4 linked regions of the Pelodiscus sinensis genome follow. The protein of the gene in region 4 purifies or fractionates together with the protein of the main gene of each other region. This does not show direct contact. Links are inferred from orthologs where the notes say so. Each region holds a gene or a part of one and is shown on either strand. Other genes may lie near its edges. The genes, in order: ILF2, MOV10, CASC3 and UPF1.

What was found.
Region 1: the proteins of UPF1 (region 4) and ILF2 purify together in Homo sapiens (affinity purification with mass spectrometry; 3 studies listed by BioGRID and IntAct, counting the BioPlex papers as one, with this or other methods). This does not show direct contact. The link is inferred for Pelodiscus sinensis from reciprocal best matches to the Homo sapiens genes UPF1 and ILF2.
Region 2: the proteins of UPF1 (region 4) and MOV10 purify together in Homo sapiens (affinity purification with mass spectrometry; 3 studies listed by BioGRID and IntAct, with this or other methods). This does not show direct contact. The link is inferred for Pelodiscus sinensis from reciprocal best matches to the Homo sapiens genes UPF1 and MOV10.
Region 3: the proteins of UPF1 (region 4) and CASC3 purify together in Homo sapiens (co-immunoprecipitation; 5 studies listed by BioGRID and IntAct, with this or other methods). This does not show direct contact. The link is inferred for Pelodiscus sinensis from reciprocal best matches to the Homo sapiens genes UPF1 and CASC3.

What each region holds. Positions count from the first base shown.
Region 1 is NC_134734.1:23,581,671-23,589,579, reverse strand, and holds the start of ILF2 (interleukin enhancer-binding factor 2), read right to left. Parts: upstream 3,243-7,909; 5' UTR 3,140-3,242; coding exon 3,135-3,139; intron 2,434-3,134; coding exon 2,374-2,433; intron 1,446-2,373; coding exon 1,403-1,445; intron 27-1,402; coding exon 1-26. UniProt on the Homo sapiens protein: Chromatin-interacting protein that forms a stable heterodimer with interleukin enhancer-binding factor 3/ILF3 and plays a role in several biological processes including transcription, innate immunity or cell growth.
Region 2 is NC_134737.1:2,048,316-2,055,829, forward strand, and holds the start of MOV10 (helicase MOV-10), read right to left. Parts: upstream 3,296-7,514; 5' UTR 3,223-3,295; coding exon 3,089-3,222; intron 657-3,088; coding exon 560-656; intron 1-559.
Region 3 is NC_134739.1:10,950,342-10,957,759, forward strand, and holds the start of CASC3 (protein CASC3), read right to left. Parts: upstream 3,281-7,418; 5' UTR 3,161-3,280; coding exon 2,936-3,160; intron 340-2,935; coding exon 312-339; intron 1-311. UniProt on the Homo sapiens protein: Required for pre-mRNA splicing as component of the spliceosome. Core component of the splicing-dependent multiprotein exon junction complex (EJC) deposited at splice junctions on mRNAs.
Region 4 is NC_134729.1:19,442,151-19,450,406, forward strand, and holds the start of UPF1 (regulator of nonsense transcripts 1), read right to left. Parts: upstream 3,143-8,256; 5' UTR 2,842-3,142; coding exon 2,641-2,841; intron 2,619-2,640; exon of another isoform or gene 1,937-2,618; intron 1,878-1,936; exon of another isoform or gene 1,816-1,877; intron 1-1,815. UniProt on the Homo sapiens protein: RNA-dependent helicase required for nonsense-mediated decay (NMD) of aberrant mRNAs containing premature stop codons and modulates the expression level of normal mRNAs.

The sequences.
Region 1 (7,909 bases), on a different chromosome or scaffold from region 4:
TTCACACGAGGGAAGGCCATTTCACACTGAAACAGAGAGACTGGGGTCATGCCAATGAGACAGGGTCATTCGAGTGGCTCATTTAGCAACAAGACAATTATTCCAATTTTTAACTCCACTGATTACATCCATTAGTCACTCCCAAGTGCCTCCTGCTTCTAATGACTGTTCCACTGTAGCAGTCAAGATGAGCATTTTATTTTCAGTAGGTTTTGAATGGAGCATGGAAACCTTCAGTCCTGCCCACACAGCTTCACTGGGCTCAAAGAGAGAATCACTAGAACTGGTCAATGAACACCACAGAGCATGTGTTCTACATAGAGCTGCCTGGGAACTTAATGCTATGAAATTACAGTTGAGAGAGGCACAATCACAAAAAATTCAGAAGGAACAATCCTTAAAAGCCAACGGGAGCTGCAAGGACTGTGCTGGGGCAGTGCACAAAGACCTCCCCCCCAAGAGGTAAGCGCCATGCATCCACACACATGCTGGCCCCAGCAGCCAGCTACTTGCTGGGCTAAGCCAGGGTCTTGCTGGGCTGTTGGCCAGGAGCCACCTAGAGTAAGCGCCTTCCAACCAGAGACTGCACCTGGCACCCCAAATCCTCACCCCAGCCAAAACCCCTTCCCTACTCCTGCACCCAGCCTCTGCCCCAGACACCCCCTTTCTCCCATTAATATCATAGAAAAGCATGGCCCTTGACCACTTACCAGACTCTTGGAGTGGCCTCCCCATCCAAAATTATTGCCCATTCCCGAGTAAAGCTATTAGATGCCTCAGCCTGCATGGTTTGAGCTGGGAAATGCGTGGGTACGTCTGCACAGCAGATCACTCAAGTTTCCCCTAACTTGATTCCTGTCAAACAGGAGTGTCTAGCTCAAATGAAGGGGTGCTTTGAGCTCACAGCCAACATTCCAATTTTCTCCTTAACATGCAGAATAATTTTTGTTCTGTGCACCATGGCATGTGTGGATGTGCAACACCAGGAGAAACACATGCTGCTGGCTGTGGATGCTGTGTTAATCAAGTGGGCAACATTTGGATGTCTCCTGGGTGGCCACCCAAGTGCTCAGCTTACAGGGAACACTGCTCCCAGCTAGCTTGTGTACTGTTTAAGTGCAGAAGGGAAGATACAGTCAAGCTGCAAAACAATTCAGCAGCAGCTAATCAAATCACTTTGGGTAACTGAATATTTTGCAGTATAGCTGCTCTCAGTCTCACTACAGCTGAGAAGCTAGATTAGTTCAAGTGTCATTAACTAAAGTGTGCTAACTATGCTGTGAAGAAACACCTTACAATCAAGTTTATTGTTAAACCAGGAACATAATTGCAACACAATGTCCCTGCACCAGTTTTATAGAGGCAATACTATGGACTGGCTAAGCTAAGCCAGGTTACTCACCACATAGAAGTCAAAGGGGATGTGTGGCACAAAGGGCCTGAACCTAAAAAAAGAAAAAGCTGAAGATGAGTTATGATGACTTTAAACTCTAACTGCCCTTTGATGACAGGGCAGACACCCTACAGCAGACTGAACCACTGGTTCAATACATCCTACACCCTGATTAGGAGGGTGTTCAGAGAAAAGCAAACTCTTTCCCAGCCTCTCATGGGAGGACTTCTCACCCTGCTGGACAAGCCAAAATTCCCTTTTACCTGGGAGACAGAAGTTTAACACACACTGGCTTGGACTCTCCTCATAGCAGAGAGCGAAGCCACCCCAAATTGACCAGCAATTGTGCACCATAACTAGTAGGGATGTGAATGTGTACAGTTAACGGATGAGCCTGGGTTCATCAGTTAGCATGCAGTTACACAAGGCTCCCCCCATTTACCTAAACACATTAACGTTCCTAGTAACCAGAGTATATTATTTGAAAAGGAGAAGTCGGTCAAGTGTTCCCCATCTTAGAAGGGGCCCCATTAAGAGCTCTTGCCTCTGCTGTATGTGGTTGGTTCTCCCCCACACAATGGATCTTAGCTTAAGGGGATTATGGGGCTTTGCTTCACAGTACATAGATAAAGCTCCCTCCCCCCCCCCGCTTCGCAACAAGCTGGCTGCCAGAGCCACCCTGGACCCTACACACTAGGTACCGGTACGGCAGGGACACCCCGGGGTGCCAACCCTTCTGCTTCTTCCTGGCCCTTGTTCTGTGGCTCTAGCGTCAGCTTAAAAACGCGAAACGCTGGCAGAGCGACGAGCCGAACGCTGCGCCCGTCCGGGGTAACGGGCCGTCTGCAGGCGGCTGCCAAGGGGGCACGTTCCGCCCCTTCCCGAGCGCCAGCGGACCAGGCCCTGGAGGTTACAAATCGCCACTTCCCTGCAGCGCCGGGCGGCCCCCCCAGCCCCCGCCCCCCGCGAGCGCCACTTACCCGCTGCCCGGGCCGCCCCTGGAGCCAAAGCGCCCGCCACGGCCACGGCCTCGATCGCCCCTGGGGGAGGAGGCAGGTCGCGGGTCAAAGGAGGGAGCGGCCCGGCCCGCGGAGCCTCCCCCCGGCACCTCCCCCCACGGGACCGGCCCCCCTCCCGGGCCCCCCCTCCCGGGGCACCTCCCCCCACGGGACCGGCCCCCCTCCCGGGCCCCCCCTCCCGGGGCACCTCCCCCCACGGGACCGGCCCCCCTCCCGGGCCCCCCCTCCCGGGGCACCTCCCCCCACGGGACCGGCCCCCCTCCCGGGCCCCCCCTCCCGGGGCACCTCCCCCCACGGGACCGGCCCCCCTCCCGGGGCACCTCCCTCCACGGGACCGGCCCCCCCCCAGCCCCCTCCCGGGCCCCCCCCCAGCCCCCTCCCGGGGCACCTCCCCCCACGGGACCGGCCCCCCTCCCGGGGCACCTCCCCCCACGGGACCGGCCCCCCTCCCGGGGCACCTCCCCCCACGGGCCCGGCCCCCCCCAGCCCCCTCCCGGGGCACCTCCCCCCACGGGACCGGGCCCCCCCCAGCGCACCTCCCCCCACGGGACCGGGCCCCCCCCAGCGCACCTCCCCCCACGGGACCGGGCCCTCCAACCCCCCCGGGGCACCTCCCCCCGCAGACCCCCCCCCCCCCCAGGACCGGGCCCCCGCGGGGCATCTCTCCCCGCAATTCCCTCCCGCCCCCCCAGCGCCGGCCCGCGGATCCCGCCGCCCCTCACCTCATGGCGCCCGCTGAAGTCGAACAATGGAGCCCGCGCTGAGGAGAGGAGAAGACGCCGGCCTGCGCTGCGCACCCGCCAACAAGCTGCCCGGCTATTGGCTGGGCGCGGCCGGCCCCCTCCTGATTCCGGCTTTGCCATTGGTCTCCCCACCGATCAGTCATGAGGTGTCGGCGCCTCGGCCAATCGCAGGTCGGGCGCGCGGCGGGGCCGTTGGAGAGCAGGCGCGCCCAGCGAGGGGCCCTTGCTGCGTGTGCCGCCAGTGGCCCCGCTCTGCAGCGGCGGGTAAGGGCCACTAGGTGGAGTGCAGAGGGCGGTGCAGGGCGCATGCGTGCAGGGCGAGCACACAGCTCCATGTGCAACCTTAGAGGCTGTGGCAGCGTGCAGCAGAGTGGCGCAGCGGAAGCGTGCTGGGCCCATAACCCAGAGGTCGATGGATCGAAACCATCCTCTGCTAACCTGTTTTTTTTTTTTTAAAAGCCCTGCCCCCCCCCCCGGGGTAGGAGGCATTTTTATTTGGCACATCACCACCTTGCTGGCGTCCCTGTGAGCTGGTGTCCGGGTGTGACATCACCACCTGGGTGACATCATTGGTGGTCAGGTGTGACATCATCACCACATGGGCAGTTGGGTGCCAATGTTCTTGCACAGTTGTGTGTGGATGTGATCTCATTGCACTGGTGTTCAGGTGTGACATCCTGTCAGTGTCTCCGTGGGACAGCATCTGGGTAGAATATTGTTGGGGCATGACATCACAGCATCTGGGTGTGACGTCATTGCGGAGGTGTGACATCACTGTGCCTGGCTTCTGGGTGTGGCACGATGGCTTCTGTGGTTCCTGCAAGTGACGTCACTGCAGATTAGAGCCCGCTGGAGCTGCCATACAGGCCATGACGTGACCCCTGGGCCTTGCCAAGGCGTCTGGGCTAAGGAGTGGTCAGCTGGGATGGTCCCTTTAATAAGTCCTGTCCCTGCTGTCCAGGCGTTGCAGGTAACAGTGGGCATTTGCAGGGGCGGCCCTAGACTAGCTGCCAGCAACTGGCGCCCTAGGCGAACCATGCAATCAGCACCCCCCCTCCAAACCCCTCAATGATATTGCACCACCATTTGGCGCCCCATTTAACTTGGCGCCCTAAGTGACCACCTAGTTCGCCGATATGGACGGGCCGCCCTTGGGCATTTGTCCCATTCGCTCTGGCCAAGTTGGAAAAACCAGCGGGGTGCGGCACAGAGGAATGCCAGCCCGTGCAGGGGGGAGGCGAGGCTGGGCTGGAGGGGGAGAGAATGAAGGGTTCTCGTGGGGGGCAAGCGGGGTGCCAGGGATCAGTGACAGCTTCAAGGGCAGTGGAGGGGATGGCAGGGTTCGACTGACCAGTGAGTGCCTGGGGCGTCCCTTGGGCAAGGGCCCCCACAAAGGATGGGTGGCTTGGGCCAGCCCCATGCGGTGTCTCGTTTTCCCTTCGAGAAATACGGTCAGCCCACCCCTCGCAGAGCTGTCGGTCCCTGGGATGCCCACACGTGCAATTGTACCATGCTGGCGGGTGCTTTTGTTCTTAAAGCCCGACTCTGGGAGTCAGGTGGTGGCACAGAGCAGCTCGGCTCCCCTTTCGCAAACCAGAAAAACAGCTTCCAGCCCCCGGTGGCTGGGGAGAAAAGCGGGAGACCGGGGCCCAGAAGGCAGGTAACACAAGTCCCGCGTCAGGTATTGAGTGAAATCTGATGGCTTGTGGAAGCCCTGACTTATGACTTGTGAGCTCCTGGGAGCCGGGGAAGCTTCAGGCAGAGACCCAAGCAAGGGCTATGACCTACAGGCCAGGTTCCATCCACCGACCAGGTGCCCCCTGTGTCAGGCGCAGCCCTGTCTATACTCTGCATTCGGACTTGACAGCTAAACAAGCAGGAGGCTACCAATCTGCCTGGGACGGAGACAGACACTGTGGGCAGGAAGCGGGAGCAGGGAATTAGGGGGTGGTCAGATCCTGGTACCATGTAACGGGGCCCAGGCAAACCCGGGGCTGCTCACTGCAGAAGAGAGCGAGTCGCTGCCCCGCAGAATCTGCAGTCTCCCTGGAGAAGACAGACGTGCTGCACAGGACTCGGTCTCAGCCCACAGCCTCTTTCCTGGCCTGGCAGGATTTTGGAAATACTGACAAATGCTCCCCTCCCAATTCGGGGCAAAAAAGTGAAAACTTTGAACAACCCCTTATCCCCCCCTTCCGTTGCCGGTGCCGGGTCGGTCGCATTTTAAACCAAGATGCCGGTGCCTCCACAAGGCCCAGCGAGGTTTGGTCCTGTCTGCGGGGTTGGGGCTGATGAATCCGCCTTTTCCAGCACACGGGAAAAGTTGGTCTGAAAGTTTGCAGCCGGCTGTGCTCCTCCCGCCCATTGTCTGCACGTGTCTGGTGCTCCAGACCTCCGGGTGGCGCCAGGACACCACCGAACATCTGCTCGGCCCCCTCTGGACACCAGCTCCGAGCACGGAAATGTCAGGAGCAGGGCCCTGAAAAGGCCACCTTAGGGCCTCTTCTCTGGGCATCTCGGAGGATAGGAGGGGTCGAGGGCGCAGCAGGAGCGCCGTAACTGCCAGAGCCAGAGAGGAGCAGTGTGGCCCCAACACAAGGGCGAGATAAATAGGGGGTGGGCAGAGGGGCGGGGCTCATGACGAGCAGGCACCAGTGGACGGGGGGCTCCAGGCAGGGCTCTCTGCCCCCTCTCATGGCCACCCGCCTTTGGTCAGCAGGCCTGGGCTCATGGCCACTGACGTGGGTCCCAGCTGTGCCGAGGGATGGCCGGCACCTGGGGGAACAGAGCCCCGGAGCCTCAGAGTCCTGTCCTGCTGCTATAAACTCTCCCCTTCTCCTGGGTGTGACCCCCCCAGCATGGACTGGAGGACCCAGCTGTGAGGATCAGCCCCCAAATCCGGAGGGGGTTTACTGCCCTCTGCCCTCCAGACAAGAAGCACAAGCCTCAGGAGCTGGCTGAAGGGACAGAGAAACCTTTTGTGATCCAGGGCTGGGGTGGGGGTTTGTGGAGCCCCACCCCAGCACTGGCTGCTGGAGAAACCCCCCCCCCCCTACAAAAAAATCTGTACCAAGCCTGGGAGTACCAAGCTCATCTCCCCCTCCCCTAGGCCCAGGCAGTTTGGCGGGGGGAAAATTGAATTTCCCACCCGCCAATGGCATCCCCAGCCGATCCATAGGGCCACAGAACATAGGGGCCAAAATAACCAGCTTCCCCCTCCCCCGCCAAGAGTGGCTGTCCCCCCACAGCCAGCCTGAGCATCATCTCTGCAGATGTGCCTGGGCTGGGGGAGCCAGGGGGCTGGGCGGACTTAGCCGGGGTCCCATGGAGTGCCAAGGAAGGAGAGACCAAGGCAGCCTCACCCAGAGTCAGGCAATTTGGCATCCCAGCGCCTCTCCTGGGGCAAGGGGTGGAGTTGTTACAATATTTCACTTGTGGGGAAACTGAGGCAAGGGGAGGGGTTCCCCTGAGGTCAGTGGGAGGCACTTGGAAAACAACTCAAGAGTCTTGTCTCCTACTCTAACCACTACACCCCACTCCCCAGAGCTGGGAAGAGAACCCAGGAGTCCTGGCCTCCACCCTGCTTTCCCCACAACAGCCCGCTGCCCTCGAGCAGGCAGGGGTGGAGCCCGGGGTCTTGGCTCCCTCCATTACAAACGCTTTGCATGGCCCATGGGTGCTCTGAGTTCCCCTGTTGCCCAGCAGGTCACAGTCCAGCAGGGGGCAACTTTCCTTGCTGCCCCCCAACAGGCAGCCCCCTCTCTGGGGGCCAACTGCAGGCGTGGAGTAAAGAGACCAGCTCTGGGCAACCTCAAGGCAAAGGCCTCGCCCACGGGGCTGCGGCGGAACCAGAGCCGCCTGGGTCTCGAACCAGGCTCCCTCTGCCTGGCCTGGGCGCTCGCTCTGCCACCTCCTTCCCAGCCGGCCCCTGGCTAATTCCCGCCCCCCACCAGGGGGCCCAAGCCCCCTCTTCAATCACGGAGGTGAGGGAGCAGCAGGCCATGAAGCAGTCCTGTGCTCTGCATGCCCCACTGGGGGGGCATGGCCCCCTGTGTCTCTCTAGGGGGGCATCACTCACCCATTGGGGTCTTTGGGGTTCCTACAGGCTGACCCTGTGCATGGCTTCCCTTCTCCCTTTGGGGGACCCCCCCACAGACTGCACTGGGCTCGGTGCTGCCAGCCCCCAAGGCTCCAAAACAGCAGCCAGCTCCCCAAAGCAGGCGGGTTTCTAAAGGCTGGGCCCTGCTGGGTGCCGGGGCCTCAGGGCAGCCCCCTTTCCCGGTCTCCTTTCCTCTGCCCCCAGGGCCAGGGCCAGACGAGGGCTGTACGTGCCAGCCCAGTCGCCTGACCGGGGGAGCTGGGGGTTCAGTTCAGGATGCTGGAATAGCTGGGAGGAGAGTTGCAGTCCCCGCTACTGCCCCCAGAGGGCGAAGGAGAGCTGCAGTCCCCGCTACTGCCCCCAGGGGGCGAAGGAGAGCTGTAGTCCCCGCTACTGTCCCCGGGGGGGGGGGGGCGAAGGAGAGCTGCAGTCCCCGCTACTGTCCCTAGGGGGCGAAGGAGAGCTGTAGTCCCCGCTACTGTCCCCGGGGGGGGGGGGGGCGAAGGAGAGCTGCAGTCCCCGCTACTGCCCCCAGGGGGCGAAGGAGAGCTGCAGTCCCCGCTACTGCCCCCAGGGGGGGCGAAGGAGAGCTGCAGTCCCCGCTACTGCCCCCCGGGGGGGTGAAGGAGAGCTGCAGTCCCCGCTACTGCCCCCA
Region 2 (7,514 bases), on a different chromosome or scaffold from region 4:
GTCCGGGTACGGGGGCAGCATGTGCCAGGGCAGCCCTTGCAGAGCTGGGGCGGGGAGCAGAGGGGACCGGCCCCAGGGTCCCACATTCAGCATGCAGCCAGGCCCGGCTCGGGGTGCAGCCGGGGACCCCGGGCTGAGCCGAAGCAGAGTGCCTCTGGGTCCCCCTGCCAGGCAATGTGCTGTGGGCACCAGCCTGCCAGGAATGGGGCAGCAGCCTCACGGCTCGAGCTGCTTCCAGCCAGCCGGGACCTGGAGCCCAGAGGCCGGGGGGAGACCCGGGGGCCGTTCCCGGCGTGGCTGCCAAACGCTCTGTTGGGCTAAGAACCAAACCGCCCTGCGGCCAGGACCCGGGAGCCCCCCCCCGGCCTGCTGGAGAGCTCGTGCCAGCTTCCATGGCAGCCGGCTCGGCCCACGCGTGGGCAGGATGGAGGGCTGAGCTGGGAGGGGGGGCTGAGAAGCTCCCCCTCGGCAGCGCGACGTGGGGCCACGTGCCCCCTGCCTGGGCTCCCCCTCCCATGGGACCGCGCCCCAGGAGTGGGTTCCCGGGGGCAGTACCTACCTTCCCGAAGCGCACGAAGTCGCCCCGCACCTCGGCCAGGCCGCTCTTGCACAGGGCGAAGAGAACGGAGGAGAAGTTGGGCTCCCTCGTGCCATCCCTGCAGCGACGACAGAGCGGGCGCGTCAGGGCCGGGGCTGCGTTGCCCGGAGCGATGGGGCTGGCAGATGCCAGCATTGGGGGCCGGGGCATTCGCCCTGCTGCTCATGAGGAGAGCGATGGGCCAGCGGGACCCTGGCTGCCACCCAGCAGTGCTCCTCTCCGGGGGGGTGGTCCTCAACTGCAGGGTCTCCTGTCTCCAACCCAACCGTGCCCTGCCATGGGGCAACCACCAGGCGCCCAGGGCTGCTCCCACGGGGCCCCTCAGCTCTGCCATTCTTTGGGCTGGCGTCTTCCCTGGGGGGCAACTGCCCCCAGCAACTGCAACCCCGCTGGGCCCCTGCACTGGGGTGGGAGTAGTTGCAAATCCAGCCCCCCCTCCGCCCCCAGCTCAGGAGCCACAAGGTTACCTGGTGAGCAGTGCGCTTGCTGGATAGGTAACCGGCCCGGGGCAGGAACCCAGACAGGGCAGGCAGGGCCACAGCAGCCCTGGCCCCATGCGAGGACAGGTGGGACTGCGGCCCAACGGCCCCAGGAAGGTGCAGGGGGGACCCTGGTCCCAGCAGCCCCAGCCCCCCACAGCCTAGGCGCACCATGGGTGGGGGGGCACTCCAGCCCAGCCAGAGCAGCCCCCGCCCGCGGGATCACGGTGAGCCACGTAACACGTCCCGATTTCACACCCCTGCTCCCGGCTCTGGCTCTGACGCGAGGAAGCAAGCCCAGGGCCGGGGCAGGGCTGCACTAGCCGCTCTCCTTCCGCGCACTCTGGCCTGGGCGAGCGGGAGGCACAGAGAGCCCAGCCTGGCTGGAGGGAAGAGCAAAGCCAGGGACTCGGGGGTCTCTCCAGTGACACGGATTCGCTGTGCGGGCAAAGGTGGACCCCTGCACGGGGGCGGGGCTAACCCATGTGCACCAGCTGCCTTTGCACGGGGGCAGGACTAACCCATGTGCACCAGCTGCCTTTGCACGGGGGCAGGACTAACCCATGTGCACCAGCTGCCTTTGCACGGGGGCAGTGCTAACCCATGTGCACCAGCTGCCTTTGCACAGGGGTGGGACCACCCATGTGCACCAGCTGCCTTTGCACGGGGGCGGGGCTAACCCATGTGCACCAGCTGCCTTTACACAAGGGCGGGACTAACCCATGTGCACCAGCTGCCTTTGCACGGGGGTGGGGCACACTCCTGTGAGCCAGGAAGGTGGCAGGTCGTGGGGCAGGGCTGTGGGCCAGATCCCATGCGGCGAGTGCAGAGCAGGGCCCCATGTGCCCTAGTGCACAGGCCAGGCAGGGGGCCATGAGGCTGTTGGCAGGCAGACAAGGGCCAGAGAGGGGCCCTGCTGCCCAGAGGTGCCAGGGACTGCCCGGGCAGAGCTCCCTAGCAGCAGGCGTAACACTTGCCTGGTGCTGGCAGGATTGGGGAGGGGAGCGTTTGCCCAGGAAGGCCAAGCCCTGCCTGAGCACCCTGGGGCCTGCCTTTGCCTGGCCTGGGTGGGCCCTAGGCTCTGCCCCGGACAGTGTGGGGCCACGGGTGCACAAGAACCATGAGAGCTGGGGCTATGCCTATGCCCTCCCCACCCCCGCATACTGCAAGAGGCCTGTGCCTGGCCCCCAAGGCGTCCCTTTGTCAGTTCCAAGCCCACGCCCACCCAAAGCCACGAGGGGCTGGGAGGCAATTGTGTCTCCACCGCTCCCTGGAAGCGGGGCGCTTGTGCGGCTGCTCAGGAGAGATTCAAACGCCGCCCGGCTGATTGGCAGCCCGCAGCCAGGGCTGTGTCTCTGCGGGTGGTGCACACCCGCACAGCCCTTGTGCACAGAACAAAATGTATTCTGCACGTGGATGGAAAAGATTAGCGGGAACGTCGCCCCCAGCCCGTTCCAAGGGCCAGTTCTATGGCTGTGATGGGTCAAATCCGGCTCGGAACTGCAATGGAGCAGCCTCCCCTCCCAGAGTCACCCCAAACCCCAGGCCCGAGCCAGATGGGCGCGGGGTGCAGATCTGTTCTGACCCCTGGAGAAGAGGGGCGCTGGGCAGCTTGGAGTGATTTCCTGCAGGAAGGAGGGCCCATGGCTCAGGGAAGCCTCCTTCCCAGCGCCCCGGGGGCAGGGACGGGAAATCATGGAGGGTCTGTGTCTGGCTGCCTTCTGAGCCTGGGGCAGACCGGGCCCTCCCCCTCCCTCTCCCCACGGGCGCCCCAGCTGCACCCGCACCCAGGGGCTGCCCAGCCCCGGCTCTTAGCCCGGGGAGCCCCAGCGAGGCCGCTGTCAGCATCCAGGTGAGTGTCCTGGTCTGGAGCAACTGTCCCCTCCCGGCCGGGGCGTCCGGGGGTTCCCAGCAGCCCCGAAGTGACACGTCTCCCCTGCCCGGCCCGCCCCCTCCTGGGGCCACGCAGCGCTCGGGGTCGCCGCTCCCCCCGGGGCTCGGCCGCGCTTACCGGGCGCGGAACTCCCGGTTGTAGATGTCCCGCAGCGCCTCCCGGCTGCGCTCCGCGCCCCGCGCCGTGTCCGCCAGGAAGCGCACGAAGCGCTCCCCGCTCGCCCTGCACTCCGCGAAGCTGCGCTTGGGCATCTCTGCGCGGCGCCGCGGGCGGCCAGGGAGGGCGGGAGCCGGGCTCCGCGGGCAGAAACGAAAGTGAAAGGGGCCGGGAGCCTCCCCGGCACACAGGTCCCTCTGGGCGGGCCCGGCCCGGCGCCAGCCTGGCGGGAGCGGCTCCCGCGGTGGGGTAGGCGGGCTCTGCGCCTCCCGGGACAGGCACAGGGACGCGGGGATGTCCCAGCCCCGGGCCCGGGCGGCCTCCGCCGGGGATTCTGGGGGAGCGCAGACCCGCACCCCTTTGGAGAGCTCAGCTGCGCCAGCCCCCCGTTCCCTGCCCCCTGGGGAGCCCCCCGTCCACACTTTGCGTGTAGACACAGCCTCAGCCAGGGACCGGCTCTCAGTCGCCCTGGGGCAGGGGCCGTGTGCCAGGCAGGTGGGAAGGGCTTGGTGGGTTTCCTACCCGCATTGTCCAGATGAGCGTTTAGTTTGGAGGTGGCAGGGCAAAGCAAGGGGCCTGCCCAGGGAGCAGGAGGTGAACGTTAGGGTGGTTCCTGGAGGACTTAATGCCCCCGTCTCTGGCAGCCCCTCAGCCCGGACAGATGCGCTTCTCCCTGGTTCTGCGGTGCCAGAGGGCGACCGCTCAACCCGTGCGGGGCCCAGCTGCGAGCCTTGAGTAGGACGAGGCCCCGGGCTAGACTGGGTGTCCTGGGGAAGCCAGTGCGGAGGCAGGGCTCATGTCCCCAGTGTGGCTGAGGGGCTGTGGGGCCGTGCGCTGCACTGCTGGGGTCTCCTGTGTGCTGGCGGCTTCGTGCCCACGGATACGCGTTGTGGGATCCCGCCCTGAGGTGACGTGGGCCCATTGTGTGCGGTACAGGGCGAGCTGAGGTCTCCTTGCTCCGCCCTTGCTCCCTGGACGACCATCCGGTCCCTGCCGTGTCTCCCCTCTCCCAGCAGAGCCTCTGCAAAATGCTGAGTTGGGAGGATGCCCCCAGGGCATCTGCTGGAGAAATCTCCTCTCTTTGGCGGCCACAGGGTGCAGGGGAGGGGGCTGCGAGTCAGACTGGCCAGTGCTTCCGAGCCGGTTACTCTCTCTGGTCCAGTGCGGAGCTGTGGCTGTCTGGAGACAGTCTCCAAAGGAGGCTAGGGACAGGCTGCTCTGCCTTCGTGGCACTAGCGCCCTGTCTGGCATGCTAGCATGGGAGTGCTCCCCAGTGTCTTCCCTGGCATGCAAGTCCCCAGTGTCTTGTGGGCCATGACTGCGTCCCAAAATGTTTCTGTCCCACTGCTCGAGCCTGTGCCCCTCAGTGCATCCCGTGCTGGTTCCTGGCTCTCACAACACTTCCAAGAGGAGGGCAGTATCATGAGCCCTACGTTACAAATGGGGAAACTGAGGCACAAGGCAGGGCAGTAACTAGCCCGAGGTGTCCCAGCAGCTCAGTGGTAGAGCCAGGATCAGAGCCTGGGCCACTGACTGCCACAGCCTCCCAGTCCCACCCTCTAGCCATTAGGCCACCCTGCCTCCCCAAGGGGTCATTTTGCAGGCGTTGGAGTCAGAGGCTCTGATCCTCGCACCAGGCACAGATCTGAAATGGGAAGCCATTAGGAGCTGCCCCTATTTATTCAGGTGTGACCTTACTGCTAGTGAGTCATTCCATTGACTTCAGGGGCAGGCATGCATGGGCCTTTGTAGGACTACAGCCCAAAGCCTATCCCGCACCCTGGTACCATCCAGGCCCTTTTGCCTGGAGGGTTTGTAGCAGGATAGCAGGGTGATTTCACAGAACTAACTCTGGGTGCAGGCTGGCTTGCCAGGGCAGAGTCTGGCTTGTGTTGGCAGTTCAGGGGCTCTTGGCAGAGTGAGTCTCTGCCACTTGGCCTTGTGCTTATCTTGCAGCGCAGCAGCTTTTGACCTCCTCTCCCAGCACAGAATGATCTGTCCCTTTTAAAAATTAAAACCCTCTGTCCAGGGCAGCACCTAATCAACAGGCTAGTGACTCAGCCACTGGGCATGCAAGTCAAGTAAGTAAACTCAGCTGCTGGCTTCCTCCCTCCCTCCGAGAAAAGAAAGTTGCCTGGATTCAGAAGGGCATGCAGCTCTGGCATAGAAGAGGAGATACCGGCCGATCCCTTTCCTTGCAGGTAGGAGGCTGGTGTTGTGCCTAGGGAAGAGGGCTGTGCAAAGAATGGGCCCAAGGTGAACAGGTATTACCAGTTTTGCCCACGAAAGCTCATGAGTTTGTTTCTTTTGGTTAGTCTCTAAAATGCCACAGGACCACTCCTTTCTAAAGTTCTCACCTCGTTAGCTACCATTTTTTTCCCCATGGAGTATTCTGGGAAAGGAAACTGGGTTGGGGAAGATAGATTAAATTAATAATAGAGGCCACTGCATACAACAGGGAGGCTGTTTTCTGGAAGTTAAGGCTCTCATGCCCAACTCTGCCGCTTGTTCCCAGTGTGATCTTAAGCCTTTCCATGCCTCAGTTTCCCAACATGTACATCAGGGACATGGTGTTTCCCTGTCCCAGAGGGAGTCAGGGGTGTGGATAAGGCCAAGTCCTATGAGAAGATTGTAAAATTCCCCACATGGACGGTGCTAGTCAGGCAAACAATTGGAGGCCTCCATGCATGGATGGGAAGCCATTTATTCGTTTTCAGGCGTCTCAGGAGGGAGGAAAAGTGCGTCAGTGAGCACTGGAACCTCCACGAAGCCACCCGCGGGCTGGGTTCAAGGGCCAGCAAAAGGGATGGCTGAGACAGGCTCTGCTACTGAAGCTTTATGAGTGGACGACCATGCCGCTCCCTACGCTGGCTTTGTGTAATTGACTCGCTCTGGCAAGCGTGGGATCGGGTTTCAGTTGGGTTCTCACTTGACTTGCACTAGCCCTTTGTCTCCCCCCTTGAGAGTTCCTACTGGTGCCGCTCCCCTGGGCAGGGATGGTGGCCGTGTCCAGGTGACTCCTGGCGCTGGAGCCCTTTGGAGAAATGTTCTTAAGAAATGAGCCTGCTATAAACACACCCTAGGCCAGTGGTCACCAACCAGACAATGGGGATCTACGGGTAGATCCCGGTGCCTCTGACAGGGGATCCTGACTGGTTTGGCCAAGACACTGTTATCAAGGGCTGGACTTCAATTGCCCCTCACCCCACTGCTGCACATCTCTTTTCCCTTGGAGCTGCCCCTCAGGAGCTTTCTGGGCAGGGCAGGGGAAGGAGGGTGCTGATGTCAAGGTGCCTCCTCCCCCACTTTGTATCCTTTCTCCACAGAGCAGAGGGGGCACAACAGGGCTTGGGAGGGAGTTTTCTGGCTGCTTTAGGGAGTGGTGCAGGGCCAGGGCAAGGGGGTGCCTGCCTTAGTCTCACTGCACCACCCAGGAGCAACCTGAGGTAAGCAGTGCCCTGCTGGAGCCCCCATCTCGAAAAACCCCACCCCAGTCATGAACCCCTCCTGCACCCCAACTACCTGCCAAGTCCAGCTCAGAGCCTCTCTCACACTGCCCGAGCCTGCACCCCAGCCTGCTGAAGTGAGGGAGGATGGGGGATGGAGTGAGCAGGGGCAGGACCTCAGAGAAGGGGCACAAAGGAGGCCAGGCCAGGCTGTTTAGGTTTCAGGTGGATCTTGGATTGCATTTCCATTCGAAAAGTGATCTCACGCATAAAAAGGCTGGAGACCACGGCCCCAGGCTGCGTCCTGTCCATTTCCATAGGAAAGGGCATCCCTGGCACTCAGCTGCTTGCTTAGAAAGGGACTAGGCGGTGTTTCTGGGACCCTGGGGCAATGCAAGGAAGGAATGCGGAGCGTTAATGGCTTCATTGTAGTTCAGCACCTTCCACCCAACAGACTGCAAATGCTTGGCTACCCCTGGGACAATTGAGATGCTGCCTACAGTCCATGCAAACACCTTTCCCGTGGTCCAGCCCACCGGCCTGTTGTTGGCCGCTCAGCTGATACACAAGCTAAGGCTTGGTCTCTTTTACAAATGGTACCAGTTTCACTAGCAATAGATTTTTAATTGATTTAGGCCATTGTTTGTCTTAGGACAATGATTAACTCCCTGTGTGAACAGCTTAGTCTGGCACAGAAGTGCTCTTTGCTCCTGCTCAGCCAAAGCCCGGTGTGCTTTCAAAGACTGTCCAAGTGGAATTCTTCAGGAACCACTACTGCACTTTAAATTCACACCCTACCCCAGGCTTTATCGACATGTCCAAAAGTAATGCAAGTGTAACCATGGCAGGAGCCCTGGCTCTGTGTAAACCACCCTCCTTACAGCACTGGGAGTCCATTAACGCTGGCACTTTACAGTACTGTAACTTGCTGCACTTGGTGG
Region 3 (7,418 bases), on a different chromosome or scaffold from region 4:
TAGCTTTGAATTATAACACTTAGAGCATCACTCATCAACATTCCTGTGCACAGACACACAGCATTCAAACCACACGCGTACTAAGCACCAGTATTAAACTGGCCCTCAATCTCCCTGCTGAAAAGCACTGCCGTTAGACCAATGCTCCATCCAGCCCAGCATTACATGCTTCAGACACTCCTGGAGCAGGGGACCAGACAACTGGCCTTTCAAAATGGCCTCAGAGTATGCATTTTTAATAGCTAACGATTCTGTGCTTTCATAGCTTCCCTTCTCCCTCCCAGGACAGCCCAAAGATACTTATTACTCACCGTCTCCTTCAATGCCATCTTCACTTTCCTATTGAAAGAGAGAGACACACAAGCATGTTACTGGATGTGTAAAATTTCCAGGAAAATTTCAGTGACTTGCCTATCAGATGTGACCTCACTAGACATCTAGACAAGCTTTTGACAAGAGCCGGGTTGGGGAGATGCCTGTGACCCTGGCACACAGGAGAGTCATCCTGGAAGCTTACATTTAGAACAAACATGGATCTAAGAACTTGGACAAGAGTTTTCCTGAAAATGCATCCAGTTGCATGCACAAGGCCGGCCAGACTGAGGGAAATTCAAGTCCTCCAGGCAAGAAAAGGCAGTATGGAGAGGAGGGGTTTAAAGTGTGGTTAGTCAGTACTGATCTTTAGGGGAAAGAGGCCTACACAGAAATGATGAGCTCCCTTAATAAAATAAAACTAGAATCAGACTGCTGGCTCAGAAAGTTACTGGGGGATTGCTGAAAGCTGGGAATGGGTGACGGGATGATTACCTGTTCTGTTCATTCCCTCTGGGACACCTGGGCTTTGGCCACAGCCTGAAGACAGACTCCTTGGCTAGACAGACCTTTGGTCTAATCCATTCTTATGGATTATTTAAATTAGTGGCTTTCCCCAGCCTCCATGTGCTGAGGAGCACCAAACTCTCACAGCTGCTACAGATGTCAGAAACATAAATGTTAACGTCTGTCTTTATGGGATAGAGAGTAAGACTGAACTGGAGGAGGAGATCAGATCACAGAGGTAAATTCTGGAAAAGAACCAGAGTATCAGACTAAAGGAATTTAATAAAATAGGCTCATGCTCAAAAATTAAAAAACTGTGTATATAATAATGTAAAGGCTAAAAGCAAAAACAGGTGAACTACAAATATACCCGAAAGCAGAATAGGAACATGGTGTAAGAGGTCCGAGGGAATAAGCTACACGGCTATAAACTACACAGGAAGAACAATTAAACTGGACAGATGGGCAGAGCATTATCCTAAAAGACTTCAGAAAAGTCTACGAGGGGTGGGGAACCTCAGGCCTGGGGGCCAGATGTGGCCCTTGGCTTGCCTGGATCTGGACACTGAGACTCAGGGTTCCCCCTAACATTGGGGAGCCTGTGCTGGTGCTCCAATCCAAGCCTCTCTGTGGGGACAGAGCACACACAATCTACTAGGCTGGGGGCCCAGTGGGGGAGAGAGGATTTCCACTGCTTACTTGTGTGTGGCTGATTTTTCCATGGGTCAGCAGCCCCTGACTCAAAAAAGGTTCCCCACCCCTGCTCTAGGGTAATAGTACTGGCCTGCCCATGAAGAGTCAATGACAAACACAAAGAAGAAAGTCTGTAAACATGTCAGAAACAAGAAACCAGAGAGGGAAATGCTAGGTCCACCAAAGGCATAGGCAAGGAGTATTTTCAGCTGAGATTTACACTGTCACTGAAACTTATAAACACTGTGGCATTCATTCAGCTGACAATCTATGAAAACACAAGATTCAATTTTAACACCCTTTCACTCAACATCATTTTACCTGACAGAACCCATTTCAACCATCCTGATTGTTTTACATTTCTCTGAAATCTGAGAAATGTATTGGCTGAGCCATTGTCTTGACGACCAAATTAAGCTTTGCTAACTAGCTCAAAAGTTTCACGAGAAAGGGCTGCAGAGTGACCAGATGGAGATATTCATCTAAAAGTCCAGCCCCAAACCACCTGCACTAACTCATTTTGAACACCAGAGTCTGCATAATCTGTATTGCCACAGTGGAAAGACAGATGAGGAAAGATGTGGTCCTGGAATGAAAAAGATTATTGATGCAGAATTTTTCAAGTCAATGTAACGGTAGTTCCAGACCTACTGTAATGTATAAAGATGTGGCAAGGAGGGTCACTTGGCACATACTCTTTTGCCCTTTGTTACATTGCCTGTCTGTATCAAGGATTGAAGTAAATTCTGTAGCATGTGCACGAGGAAAGGACAGGAGAGGAGTGTGTTGATAAGATCTTTGGACACGGATTAATAAAGCTAAATCCCACTGCGCTGCCGAGATCCTTTTGATAAGGGGCTGAGCGGGGAGGTGGAATCCAGGGCTCCTAATCAATTCCTCTCTAAATACGTCCGCCTTACTGGTCTGGAGGAGGGCAATTTAGCAAGATTTTTAAGATGCGGGGCCGGTAAGCTTGCGGCCTGCCCACGCGCTTCGCACTGCAAAAGGAAAGTGACTAAAAACAACAAGCGAGAGAGGAGGCTCAGTCACACAAAGCGGTTTCCCCCACGGCCCTGCCGCCACCGCGGCGACGAGCAGACAACGGAATTCGAAGACATCGGCCCCAATGAGTTTCTCCCCAGGGTCAAGCCGCGGAGGGGGGGGGATATTACGTTTGGGTGGCAAACGCCCCCCCCCAGCCACATGCAACACTCTGGCCGCTCCCACCTCCCCTGACGGCCCCGCCCCGGGGGCTCAGCCAGCCCGACCTGTGCACAAGCGAGCCCCCCCCAACCACGCGGGACAGGCCCCCCCCGACGCGCGCGGGCCGACCCCTGCCAATGGGGAACCCCCCCGCGGGGAGGGGGGGCAGGCCCCTCCCATCCCTCAGACCCCCCCCCATTGTCGCCCCGCCCCCACTCACACACTCGGACTCCTGCGGGCTCTTGGCGGCCCCGGGCGCGCTCTCGGCCGCGCGGCCCCGGCCCCCCGCGGGCAGGTCCCCGGCAGCGCCCCGGGCCGGCCGGGGGGGCGAGGCGGGCGAGCCGGAGCGGGCCCCGCCGGCCGCGGAGTCGGCGCTGTCGGAGGCGGCCGAGTCGGACTCGTCCTCGCTGTCCTGGGAGGCCCGCTGCCGCCGCCTGTCCGCCATCTTGGGGGGGGCTGTGCGGGGGCGGGCGCGCAGGGCCCGACGGGACGGCGCCGGGACTACAGCTCCCAGGGGCGCACCGCGGCGCCTCCCGCTTCCGGCCCCGCCCGAGAGGGGAGGGGTCACAAGTCCCACTTCCGGGCAGCCCGCTCCGCGGCTCCCGCGAGGCTTTGTCAGAGAGCCGGAGTGCCTGCCCCGCCCTCAAGGGAGCCGCTCAGCGCGGGCGGCCCCACCCCTGCCTGGCGCGGCTGTGACGTCGTGCCGTCGCCGCACGATGACGTCATGTTACCGTCCAGGTGACGTCATTTCCTTGCTTGAAGCGGATTGCAGGCCATTTCCACGATTGAGCCGAGCACTGGGCCTGGGGCCGGGCTGGCTCAGCACACGGGGGCACAGCTGGGACCAGGGGAGAGCCAGGCCTGCGCCTTTCTGCAGGGCTAGGGGGGTCAGATACTTTCACAAAAAATCCAGAACCTGTCGGGGGGAGGAAGGTGTGTGTGGGGGGGAAATTGGTTGAAAAAAAAAAAAGAAGGGGGGGGAAGGACCCAGGCACCCAAATTTGTTGAGCCAAAAACAGTATTTTACTCCTGCAGTATTTTCTGTTGTTTTTTTTTAAACCCAAGAGAAGACGCAATTACCGGACTGTCTGGACAAAAACAGGACAACTGGCAAACCTATGCAGGACTCTACATGATTTGTTTCTTGCATGCACCTAAGTTTTTCCACAAGGGGGTAGCTCAATTTCACACTCCTTACCTTGTCCTGTATGCAGAGGGGTAGTCGTATTCAACCGAAAAAAACCACCACCAAATAGTCCTGTAGCACCCTCGAGACTACAGGTGATATCATGAGCTTGTGTATGCACAACCCACTTCTTGTGCCCACAAAAGCTCATACCACCATCTACGTTTTTGTTAGTCTCGAATTATGGTGCTGAAGGACTATTTGCTGTGGTTTAAGCTTGCCCTGTGTGTCCTTTTCCAGAAAGGAAAACCTGATAACTTGGGCCCTATTCCTCATAGGTAGTTAGGTGTCTAAATTCCCATCGACTCCAGTAGAAATTCAAAGGTATTTAGATGCCTGTGATCAGAGGGGCTACGTCTACACTGGCATGATTTTCCGGAAATGCTTTTAACGGAAAAGGTTTTCCGTTAAAAGTATTTCCAGAAAAGCACGTCTAGATTGGCAGGACGCTTTTCTGGAAAAGCACTTTTGCCGGAAAAGTGTCCGTGGCCAATCTAGACGCGCTTTTCCGCAAAAAAGCCCCGATCATCATTTTCGCAATTGGGGCTTTTTTGCGGAAAACACTACTGTGCTGTCTACACTGGCCCTTTTCCAGAACAGTTTTCTGGAAAAAGACTTTTGCCCGAACAGGAGCAGCATAGTTTTTCCGGAAAAGCACTGATGATTTTACATTAGATCGTCAGTGCTCTTCTAGAAATTCAAGTGGCCAGTGTAGACAGCTGGCAAGTTTTTCCGGAAAAGTGGCTGATTTTCCGGAATAACTTGCCCGTGTAGACACAGCCAGGGAGTTTGGCTACTACCCTAAGACCCGAAGCCTCAAGGATAAATGGGAGTCAATGTCATATCCACATCATACACAAGCACAGAGAGGTGAAGTGACTGGCACAACACTTCACCTCCCTCTGAAGACAAATCATGTTGCTTGCCATCACTGGAACAAGACAGAGGTGCATTGACCACACATCCATCCTTGCACGGTTATCTACCCAACACACTTGTTCTCTTTATGTAAAGTAAGGTGATTCTCTATACATTCCACAATAGGTTCATCTATTTCTTCCTGCATTTAGTATTTCAGCTCCCGAGGTACGCCCTTCTCTCAACTGTTATCTATGAGCAGCAGTGACTTTTCCTTTTCATCCACCCACTCGCTTAAAGATTTGTAAAGAAAGCAACAAAAAAAATGAACTAGGAGCAAGCACCTTCGTGTGGCTCCAGCATTATTGCTCCCTACAGAATTTATTAAGCAAGCATTTGGCAACAGGCCTTCAGCACTTGCCGCACACTGACCCAGACCCAGGAACGATCTGCATTGACGTTTTTAAAGAGCCAAAACAGACTCTCTGAGAAGCCTTTCAGAGCAAATTGGAGTCAGAAAAACAGTCTTGGGAAATATTAAGTGTTTCTTTAAAATACATTTGAATAGTGGCTCCCACATATTTAGCTATGGAATTGAGTGCTGGCTGGTTAGGGTTTCAGCTATTCAGACTGAAGAACCTTAAAATGTAGTTTTGTTTTGGTTTTTTTGAGAGAGACAGACACAAGGCATTAAGGGTAGACTGTTCTTCCAGTTCAGAGTTCTAAGCAAGCTATGGCAGCTGGTTAAAAATTCTAACGCTGGTAACACCATTCCTATGGACAGCACCAAGCATGCAAGAGAGAAGCAAGCTATATTTTTATTGGCTGAGAGAACGTTTCTAAACAAGACATATGCAAAGGGTTTGAGACAAACATGACAACAACATGTACGTGGTTTTTTTTCTATTTTATTGTAAAAAAAAAAATCTCGATTTGTTTAAATTTTTTAAACATACAAGCAGAATTGTTTAATACTCCCCAGTAACACTGTTAATTCTAACAAACTGAAGCAGAAATTCAAAAAATTAACAGCCACAAGTTTATTTACAACTGAACGTTTTTTATAAGATATTTACAAGACGACCAATTTTACATTAGAAATGGTATCAAAAGTATGCATTACAGACAACTAGGTGTCAAATGGCCATAAAACAAGGCTGAAGAATACAGACAAGCTTTTAATTGTATTTAAGATTTTTTTTTTTTTACACTAGCTTAAACTTGGTTAAAGAAAGCAAGGTTTTAAACCAAAGAACGGTTCTAATAGGGAATTGCAGGGCCTTCCATTGCAGATTGAGTTTCACAGTGTTGCACCCCATATTGGGAGAAATAAGACTTTTTCCCATGCCAACACTCACTGAAAATTTAACTTGGTACTTTCCCTCCAACCTACTCCCTGCCCACACACCCCATCTGTAGCTAACGACTGCTGGATAGATATCTATGAAAGATCATTTTTATAAAACATGGCTGCCTGTCTGGAGTTTAAAAACCAGGTGTGCCCTGGGAAATCAGGACCACTGGGACTTTAGTCTGAGGTCAAGCAGCTACCAGCAGATACCTCTCAGAGCTAGCTGTCACTGGGACGTAAGTGTTCTGACCCCTGAAAAGCCACGAATGCAGGGTATAACCAGAATGCAAAACCCACCTGATGCAGACCTGAAAGAGACAACATCAAGGAAAGAAAACAAGGCTCAAGCTTAATATTTGCCCATTTAACATGTTGGCTCCTAATTGCACAGAAATCCATTAAGAACACACGCTATCATGCGAAAGCAGGACACTCAAGAACAGCCTTATTTAAAAAAAAAAAAAAAAAAAAAGCGCAGTGCATAGCCCTAATGTTTCAGGCTATGTGGTACCAGGGTCCATGTCTCAAAAGATTTGCCCCTTTCATGTAGATTTCAGACCGTCTTTCAAACACCATTCCTACAGGAACCCTAGCACGGCCCACTGCCGTGTTGTAAGAATCAACCTCTCTCCCAAATTGCATAAGAATACATCCCAGTTCACAGGGAAAAGGAGGGAAAAAAACGCCACATTTTGTATTTGTGCATTACTATTTATAGCCATTTGAACCAAAGCAGGGAGAGAAGATTGCTGGCCTTAGACAACACTAACAACTCCAAAGGAACAATCAGAATGGAACATTTCTTCCCTGGCCCACGAACATTTTCAGAAATGACGTTAGCTCCTCCCCCAGCCGCACACATGTCAGAGGTAGGACAAGAACGGTGGAGCAATCTGACAAGCAAGCCTTGTGCACGAGAGTAACAGGCATGCTCTCTGTAGCAGCCAAACATTCCCCGGCCATCTGCCTTGACTCCATTCTGCTGTTAAGTCTGAAAGGTGATGGAGAATCCTGCCCCAGAGCATTTGGTATCACCACTAGTGTAGAACAACAATGAAGGCTCATTTCGTAAAGGAAGCAAATTACTAGAGCTAAAGCATAGGGACCACTCTAATTTTCTCTAGCCAATCCAAGCGTCTGACAAGATACGCGAGTTGCCAGCCACTGCTGTCCTTAAAACACTGAAAGGAAAACAAATCACCATTGTGCGTCTCGAATTCTGTTTTCACCATCAAAAACGTTTCCCACCCCCTATAGCCAGTTGGTCTAGAACCCGGCAGAGCAGCTGGCAAATAGGCTCATCTGGAG
Region 4 (8,256 bases):
TAAAAAGACCAATTAAGCAAGAGCTGCAGGTGAATGGCTCAGTCAGCTGATTTTTGGTGAGAAGAAATAGTATGGTCATTACTTTCACACTGCTGACCCCTAATACTTTTGTCAGTGATGGGACACCAACTGATTCTGACAAACACTTAAGTTCCTGGTTTAATGTACATTAGCGGAAAAAAGCTCTGATATAGAGAAGAATCAATTGCTTACACTTTGTTAGAAGAGCAGGCAAAAGAACCATATCTAACTCTCTCCTCATAACATCTAGGAATTTGAGACATCTGAACATTAATCCATAGCAAATAAACAATGTGCATACATTTAAAAATAAAAGATTAAACTGGATTTAATGGTATGGAAATAATACTTAAAGGTGATCATCTGTCAGGCCTTGTAAAAAGTTTTATTTTTAGTTACTTCTCTTGCAGAGTACAAATTTATGTAGCTTTTTAAGGCAGCAAAATGTTCCCCAAAACCCAAGATGAGTCTGCTAAAATGTACAAGACTAGACAGCTATGTAACAAGGTTAGGAAAACTAAGGAAATCTATAGTTCTTGCTATACTGCGGTTCAAAAGGAACATTATCTAAACATCTAAAGAAAATCAGGTTGTGAAACAAGGAGGCAACAGGAGTATCAAGAAGAATATGACAACTTGCAAAAGTTTCTGAAAGAAATTGTTTCAGCAGTTTGATAGAGATATAAAACCAATTTTTTTCCCACAGGATAGCAATAGATTTTATTATTATAAAAGCTCTAAATACACTGTACATAGTTTTTAACTTCTATATTTGTTTTCCTTTCAGACCACATATTTAAAGGAAATTGTATTTGATATTAATCTACAGACAGGAGTCTTAGGGTGCTAAGATTGCCAAAGACTTTCAGGAGGTCTATACATGTTGTTAGTATGGCTCTCTCCAGCATGTGGATCAGATGGCAACGTTTCCCCTCTTATTTGTTAAGCTTCTATTTTAAATAAGTCCTCTGTCTAGGCATATGCAACATGAGTTTTCACTAGGAACGTAACTGATTAAAGAGAGGATGGGGGGCACGTTTTAGCCCAATCCCGCTGGAGCAGCCTCCCCACTGCAAGCAGAGCTCATCATGGGCAGGGGCTGCGGTGGGTGGCCAGAACAGCCTCTGCCTGCGATGGGCCCAAGCCCACTTAAGCAGCCCCTGCTGGGGGGAGGGAGGGGCAGTGAGCTGCTCCACTCCCCACTAGTTAACCAGAACTGCTAAGCATCAAGTGGGATGCTTATTGGTTAACCTTTCACATCCCTAGTTTTTACTGAGGTTGATATCAGAGTGCACCAAGTAAAGAGACCAATGAAGATGAACCAAGAATCCTTTCTACTGCCAGACTTGAGCTCAGGAGTCTGTCTCTCTCTTACAATAGACAACATTACGAACAGCTCAGGTAATTGCATCCCTGATTCTGTCTTTATGCAGCTATCAACTTTTGGAGAGGACAGAACTCTGAATACAAGTCTTCATAAGTAAATGGAGAAATGAAAGCACACACGATATTCTTGAACTGGGATCTTAAACTTAGTAGCACTTCAATTCACCTTTTAATTTGCATTTTAATCAGTAGATAGTTTACAAACTATTGTTGGTACTGGGATTATATCAGCATTTGCTTGTCCATGCAGTTGACTAGTTGACACATTCTGTGATCTTTTTAAATATTATAGCAACTATGAAGCTTAGATGTCTTTAAAAACAGCAATGTAAATTTTCTGCCACACAGAGTCATAAAGCTTAAATGCAGGTTACCTTCATTTATGATATTTCATCGTGTATATGCATCTTAACTTCCTCTTTTCTTACACTCGCTATTCCAAGAAAATCCTGGTTTCCCTTCTTTTTTAACTTCCTCTTTTCTTACACTCACTATTCCAAGTGAATCCTGGTTTCCCTTCTTTTTTAACTTCCTCTTTTCTTACACTCACTATTCCAAGAAAATCCTGGTTTCCCTTCTTTTTTAATATGAAGGGACTATACAAGGCTATTGCTCAGTGGTATATCAAATGCTACCACATTTCCCTTAAAATATTGTCTATTACATTTTAATCGTCTCCAACCTTCAATCCCAAATGGGGTTCACAGGAATAGGACACACGTGCCAGCCACCACACACAATGCAACGGGAAAAGATGGATAACAAGGAAGAGGGAAAAACCACCACACGAATTAGCCCCATGCAACGTGTTTCAGAATTTGATCACAACTAAGTTGCCCAATTGGAAAGGGGGGGGGGGGCATGCCAGCGGATTGTGCTGTTCCCCACAGGCAGCAAAAGGCAGACGGGGGGGGGGGGGGGGTTCAAGCCAGCTCCTACCCACAACACGGAAGGAAGTCACATTCCTCATGATGCAACCCTGAAATCTGACACTTCTACAGCCCCCCCCCCCCCCGGCCATGTGTTCTCAGAGAGGAAGGGGCACCGGGTCCAGCCCTGCCCCCCACCCCCCTACACTGGCAGCACGTGCCGGGCTAAGGCGAAGGCAGAGAGTAACCCCCCCCCCCGTGCTGAGTGTGTGTGTGGGGGGGGTCTCTGAACGCCACCTGCCCACGCGGGGCGCTGCTGCGGCTTCCCTCAGGGGAATCCCCCCCCCCCCCAGCGCGGACCCACCTGTGCCTCGATCTGTCCGGGCGGCCCCTGCCCCGGCGGCCCCTGCCCGCCGTGCCCGGGCGGGGTCTGGGTCTGGCTGGGGAGGGTGAAGTCGGTGAACTCGAACTCGGAGCCCTGGGTGTCGGCGCCGAGCAGCTCGGCCTCCTCGGTGTCCAGGAAGGTGAGCGTCTGCGAGCTGGGGCCGTAGGCCTCCACGCTCATGGCGGCGGCGAGGGGCCGGCGGGGCCTCGCCTCACGGCGGCCGGGCAACCGCGCTACGCGAGCGCCGGGATGGGCCGCGCGCACCAGGCCGCGCGGCGCGTCGGGCGCCAACGAAGCAACCGCCCCTCTTCCCCCCCCCGCCCCTCCTCTTCGGGCCGGGCGGCCGGACGCAGCCGAATCAAGCGGGGGCGAGGGTCCGCCGCGGTGCCGAAGCCCGAGGCGCTGGGAGCGGAGCAGGCCGGCCGGGAACCGCCGCGCGCCAGGCAGGCCAGGGAGCAGGGGTGACGCGGAACGCACGGGGAGGGAGGAGGGGGGGGACGCGGCGCGCGCTCAGGACGCGTGGGGCCGTGACGTAGGCACGCACGCACGCATGCCCGGCGGCAGGTGGGGGGGGGGGGGGGGGCGCGGAGGGAAGGCCCGGGGGCGGGGTCCTAGGTGGGAGGTAACCATAGGCTCCCGTGAGGGGAGGGGCCGCCAGTTGTCCTCTCCCCCCCTCCCCCCACAGGGAGTGGTAGGGGCGGTCTCTGCCCCCACATGGGGGGGGCACTGCCCCCATGGGGAGTGGAGGGAGGTCTCCAACGGCCCCCAGGTGTGGGGGTGGGGAGGGGAGGGGAGATCTGCCATTGCACACGTGTGTGTGTGTGGGGGGGGTCTTTCACTGCCACCCAGGGAGGTAGGGGGAGGACTACCACTGCCCCCCATATGTGGGGAGGGGAAGTCTGCCTCTACCCCATGGGGTGGGGGGGAGGGAGAGATCGCTCGCTTAACTGCTCCCCATGAGTAGTGAGGGGGAGGTCTCCAGTTCCCCCATAGGTGGGAGTGGGAGGTCTCCCACACAAACAGGTGAAAGTCTCTAACTTCCCCTCTTGGTGGGGAGAGAGAGGTCTTTAATTTCCTCCATGTAGGTGGGTGCCGGTCTCAAGCTCGCCCCCCCCCCCCCACACACACACACTGTTGGTGAGGAAGGTCTATAGCTGTCTTCTCTCCCCCAAGAGAGAGGAAGTTCTGTGTTATCAGCGAAGAAAGCAAGCAGAAATCTCTGCTGCCTCTGGTTCATGGAAGGGACTTTTCACCTTCCTGTCACTGTTTTGAATCCACCATGGGCCCAGAGTGACTGCATGTCATGTCTCTGTGTCGCTACGCAGTCACTCCGGGCCAACACTGGATTCACAATGGTTGCCTCCATTTGAAATGAGTTTGGTGGGTCTCAAGCCAATCTTTAGGGAATGCTTGTTTACATCTCAAAAGCCACATGTGCAATTTGTGATGTAGTGAAAGTGGGGTACTTGGGGCCAGGACTCTGGTTCCATTCCCAGATCAGAGCGTGTGTGATGTAGATGCTAAACAAGAGTGTGGGAAGTAGGACACTTGGTTCATTTTCCAGCTCACTGCCTCAGTTTCCCTTTGCCAGGAATAGAAATATGCATATCACAGAAAGGTGTGAGTATTAACTAATGTTTTAAAACACCATGAGACAGACAGAAGGTGATAGAGAAGTGTTAAGTATTATTATTATTATTATTAATTTATATTGATTGATTGCTAACAGTTGTGCCTGGACGGGGAGGCTAATAATCAAATGTACTGTGGAGACTGAAATCTTTACTCATCATTAAAAAAGGGCCTTCCACGTAAGACTGAGGCACATTAGAATTATGGTGTAGGTGAGATAAACAAACAGAAGATTTTGATTTCTAGGGTTCCCATCAATTTTTACCAGCACAAAATTCAGAATTTTTCTAAGGTTAGTTGTGGCAAAACAGGCATGTCAAGCACATTAAACCTTTTCTCTTCCCTCCCCACAACCCTGAAACTTGTATTCATGGCTATGGAAAGTGAACATATGTTTCCTTCTATATCTAACCTCTATGTTTGTAGTTTCAGTGTAAGACAGTGATGAGCAACTTCTGGCCGATCAGGGTTCTAGGGGTGGCCTGTGAGACATTTTGTTTACCTTTGCCCATACACTGGGTTGCCAGATCCCACTGGTTTCCATCCGCATAGGGTTTTTTTTTTCTACTGGTACAGGTTGGACCTCCCTGGTCCAGCATCCTGGGGACCTGAGCGATCCTGAACCAGGTAGTTTTCTGGACCAGGGAGGTCAACTCTCCCCTGCTTGGCGCCGACCCTGCTCCTGGGCTCTCCTCTGGGCTATGGGGCTCTCTGCCCTGCTGCCACCCCCACTGCTGTCAGTCTGGCTGGGGCTTGTCAGGGCCAGGGCTTGCCAGCCGCCACTGGCCCATCTGCTGCCAGCTCACCTGGGGCTCCCCAGCTGCTGGCGGACTCCTGGCTGGCTCGCTCTCCGGCCTCGGGGGCTCTTTGGTCCAGTAGCATCCATAGTCCTGCCAGATTTGAGAGGTTCGACCTGTATTACCAAAGTGAAATGCACATAAAGCAAGGGCATGTGAAGTGAGGTGCGTGCTTATTATCCACAACATTGGGAGAGCCGTGTGCTCCCTCTGCATCCTAACTGCTGCTACAGTTCAAATGGCACACCGTACAAGTTCTAGGTATGCAAGCACAGTTAGCAAAACTACCCTATCTTGGGAGATCATCTTTGTGACGATAATCTTGGAGCCCACTGAGATGAAGGAGGACCACTCATGTGGCCCACTCACTAGCCTCAGTTGCCCATTGCCAGTGTAGGAGAAGAAAACAGATGGACCAGGTTTGCCAGTGTCCATCAGATTTTGATAAAATATTTGCGTTGATGGAATTTGGCCAATTGCTCCTTCTCTCTCTTTGAAACATCCTTCTCTTTGAAATATCATGCATTACTCCAACATAGAAAAGCAATTAGAGTGGTTGGAAGGGCTATTATTTCCCGTACATGGCTTGTTTGTTTTCACCTTTAGGGTGTGTCTAGACTACAGGGTTTTGTTGACAAAAGTGAACTTTTGTCAACAAAACTATACTTGTTCTGTTGACAGTAAGTTGACAAAACGCGGCAGTTGTGTCGACGGCGGTAAACCTCATTCTGTGAGGAATAACGCCTTTTGTCGACAGAGTTCTGTCGACAAAAGGTGCTGTTGCATCCCCACTGTGCTTTTTCAAAAGAGAGCGTTTGGACTCTGTCGAAAAAGTGGCTTGCTTTGTCGACAGAACTGTCTGTAGACTAAATGCTCTTTGTTGACAGAGGCTTTGTCGACAGTGTCTGTTAAAGCCTCTGTCGACAAAAGCCTGTAGTCTAGACGTACCCTCAGTTTCTACGCTTCTGTGAGGAAGCAGGATGCACTGTAGGTTTCCGTTTAAACTGTCGACATCCAGAATCATTTGACTTAGCCCAATGACATTTGTATTGTGCTGGGGCAGTTCTTGATCTTCTCTCCTATTTGGTTGAATGGTTTTCCAGGTCTGTAAATCACAAATATATATATTTCCTGATGCAACAAATTCAGCTGTTTGAGGCTAAAACAATCTTTGATCGGTTTTATCAAGCCATTATGATTCCAAAGGGCTGGCCTGTCTATAGATGTAGGATTCTATTGAGTCCATTCTTTAGCTGGAAAAGGACTTGCTTGTTTTGACTTTGAGCTATCTAGTATCCCTTCACACGGCTGTGCCACTGTCTTTTTTAATAATGAGGGGTAGTAGTGATGTGTTTTTAGCCCACAGTCATTAAGAGAAGTCCCTTGTGTGTAAATATAAAATCAGGACTAGAGTCCTTCAAGTCTCAAAGGTAAGTTCACCTGGTGTTAGTACTCTTCCTCTCTAATTGTTAGCTAATGGTTTTTATCTGCTTCTTTTAACTATCCAGTCTTTAGGTACGTGTTTATATACTATCAGTTTTGCCTGTTACATACTAGCTCGGATTTCCCTTTGATATTTTTATACTCACTGCCTCTTTTTGTTCCTCCCCTCCCATTTTTTTCCTCTCCCCCTGTCCCGCTCCCTTCTTCTCTATTTATTTATTTTTGGTTCTGGACATCCAACACTCTAGTCATCTGAAGAAGTGGGCTGTGCCCACGAAAGCTCATGATACCATCTACATGTTTTGTTAGTCTTTAAAGTGCTACCAGACTTTTTGATTTTTTAATAACCTCACTATTTCTAATCTTCCAGGGAGAAAGGTGTTAAAATGACACCGTCAGGTTTCTATGACCTAGGACTTTTAAAGTACTTTCTGTTTTGTGCGCTATGACAGTATAGCAAAAATGTATATTGTAGTATTGGTTATAAGCAGTAGATTGCAACCGGGAAGAGCCGGGTTTGGGCGATCTGCGCATGCATAGAACGATCTGTGCATGCGCAGATCGCCGGACAGCGCAGCTGGCGAGTGGGGCTCACCGCGGTTCAGCGAGCCCTGGTTATAAAACTATGAGTATGATGCATAATGATTTGATGTATAATGACTTGCTTATAAGTTCTGTATGCTTCTATTTCACCCAGTTTCTCATGATTAGATGATGTTTACTGTAAGGCCTTGTGTCCTGTTAGCATTACAAATTAAGTTGTACTCCTTGTCTGCATGACAAAAGTTGTGGAAGATTCCTTTCTTTTTGCTGTCCCTTTAGTTACTATTAATCTTGTCTGAAACTCCGCACAATTGTTTGGTGTGAATGGAGGAAGTGTGTCAGCATGACAGTCATCACAGATGCCCAGGTGATCAAGAAGAAGTGGAAATCTTGAAGATACCCAGGAAACCACCATTCTGACTGAGGCTGAATTGAATTAGCAGCATTGAGAGAATCGTGGAGATAGGCAGAGATCCCCACGAGTGAGAGACAAAGATGGGAAGTTTGACAATCACCATCAAAGTATAATTCTGGAAAACACAGATTGACACCTCTTAAGTATGGACAATTGCAGCAGGACACTGCAAAACCCACAGACTCCAGTTGGAACTGACATGTATAAAGTGGGGACCTTTGCACATTAGGATTTCCGGGTTCAGTCCAGCAAGCCAAGCCTGAGAGGAGTCTCAGAAGAAACCTGACTCCTCACTTAATCAGCTTTACCTGGCCACTAAGACTGACTTGAGCCACAACAGACTGATAACTATGCACCATCTGCAGGACCGGGGTGTGTGTGGCAGTGTGTGTGTATATATGCGTGGGCTTGTCTTTATGAAGCGTATGCTAACTGCTTTTCTATTGTATTCTCAATAAACTCGGCGTATTGCCTTTTCCCCTGAAAAAGATCCCTTGTGATTCTTATAAGCATAACAACGATAGAGTTATTGGGAAAGGGAACTGCCAAATACTTACAGTACCTCTCTATATAGTTTACAACTTCCCCATTCTAGAGAGGAGAGAAATAAAGCAGGCTTGACCTATGCATCAGAAATAGCAGACACACAATTATCCGGGTCCTGAAATTTCTTTAGACCTGACCCCCATTTCAGTCATGAAGCTCCGGATAGTTGTAGCCTTCCTTGGATTTTCATGAAAGAAGTGTCTGTGAATACAGCATGGG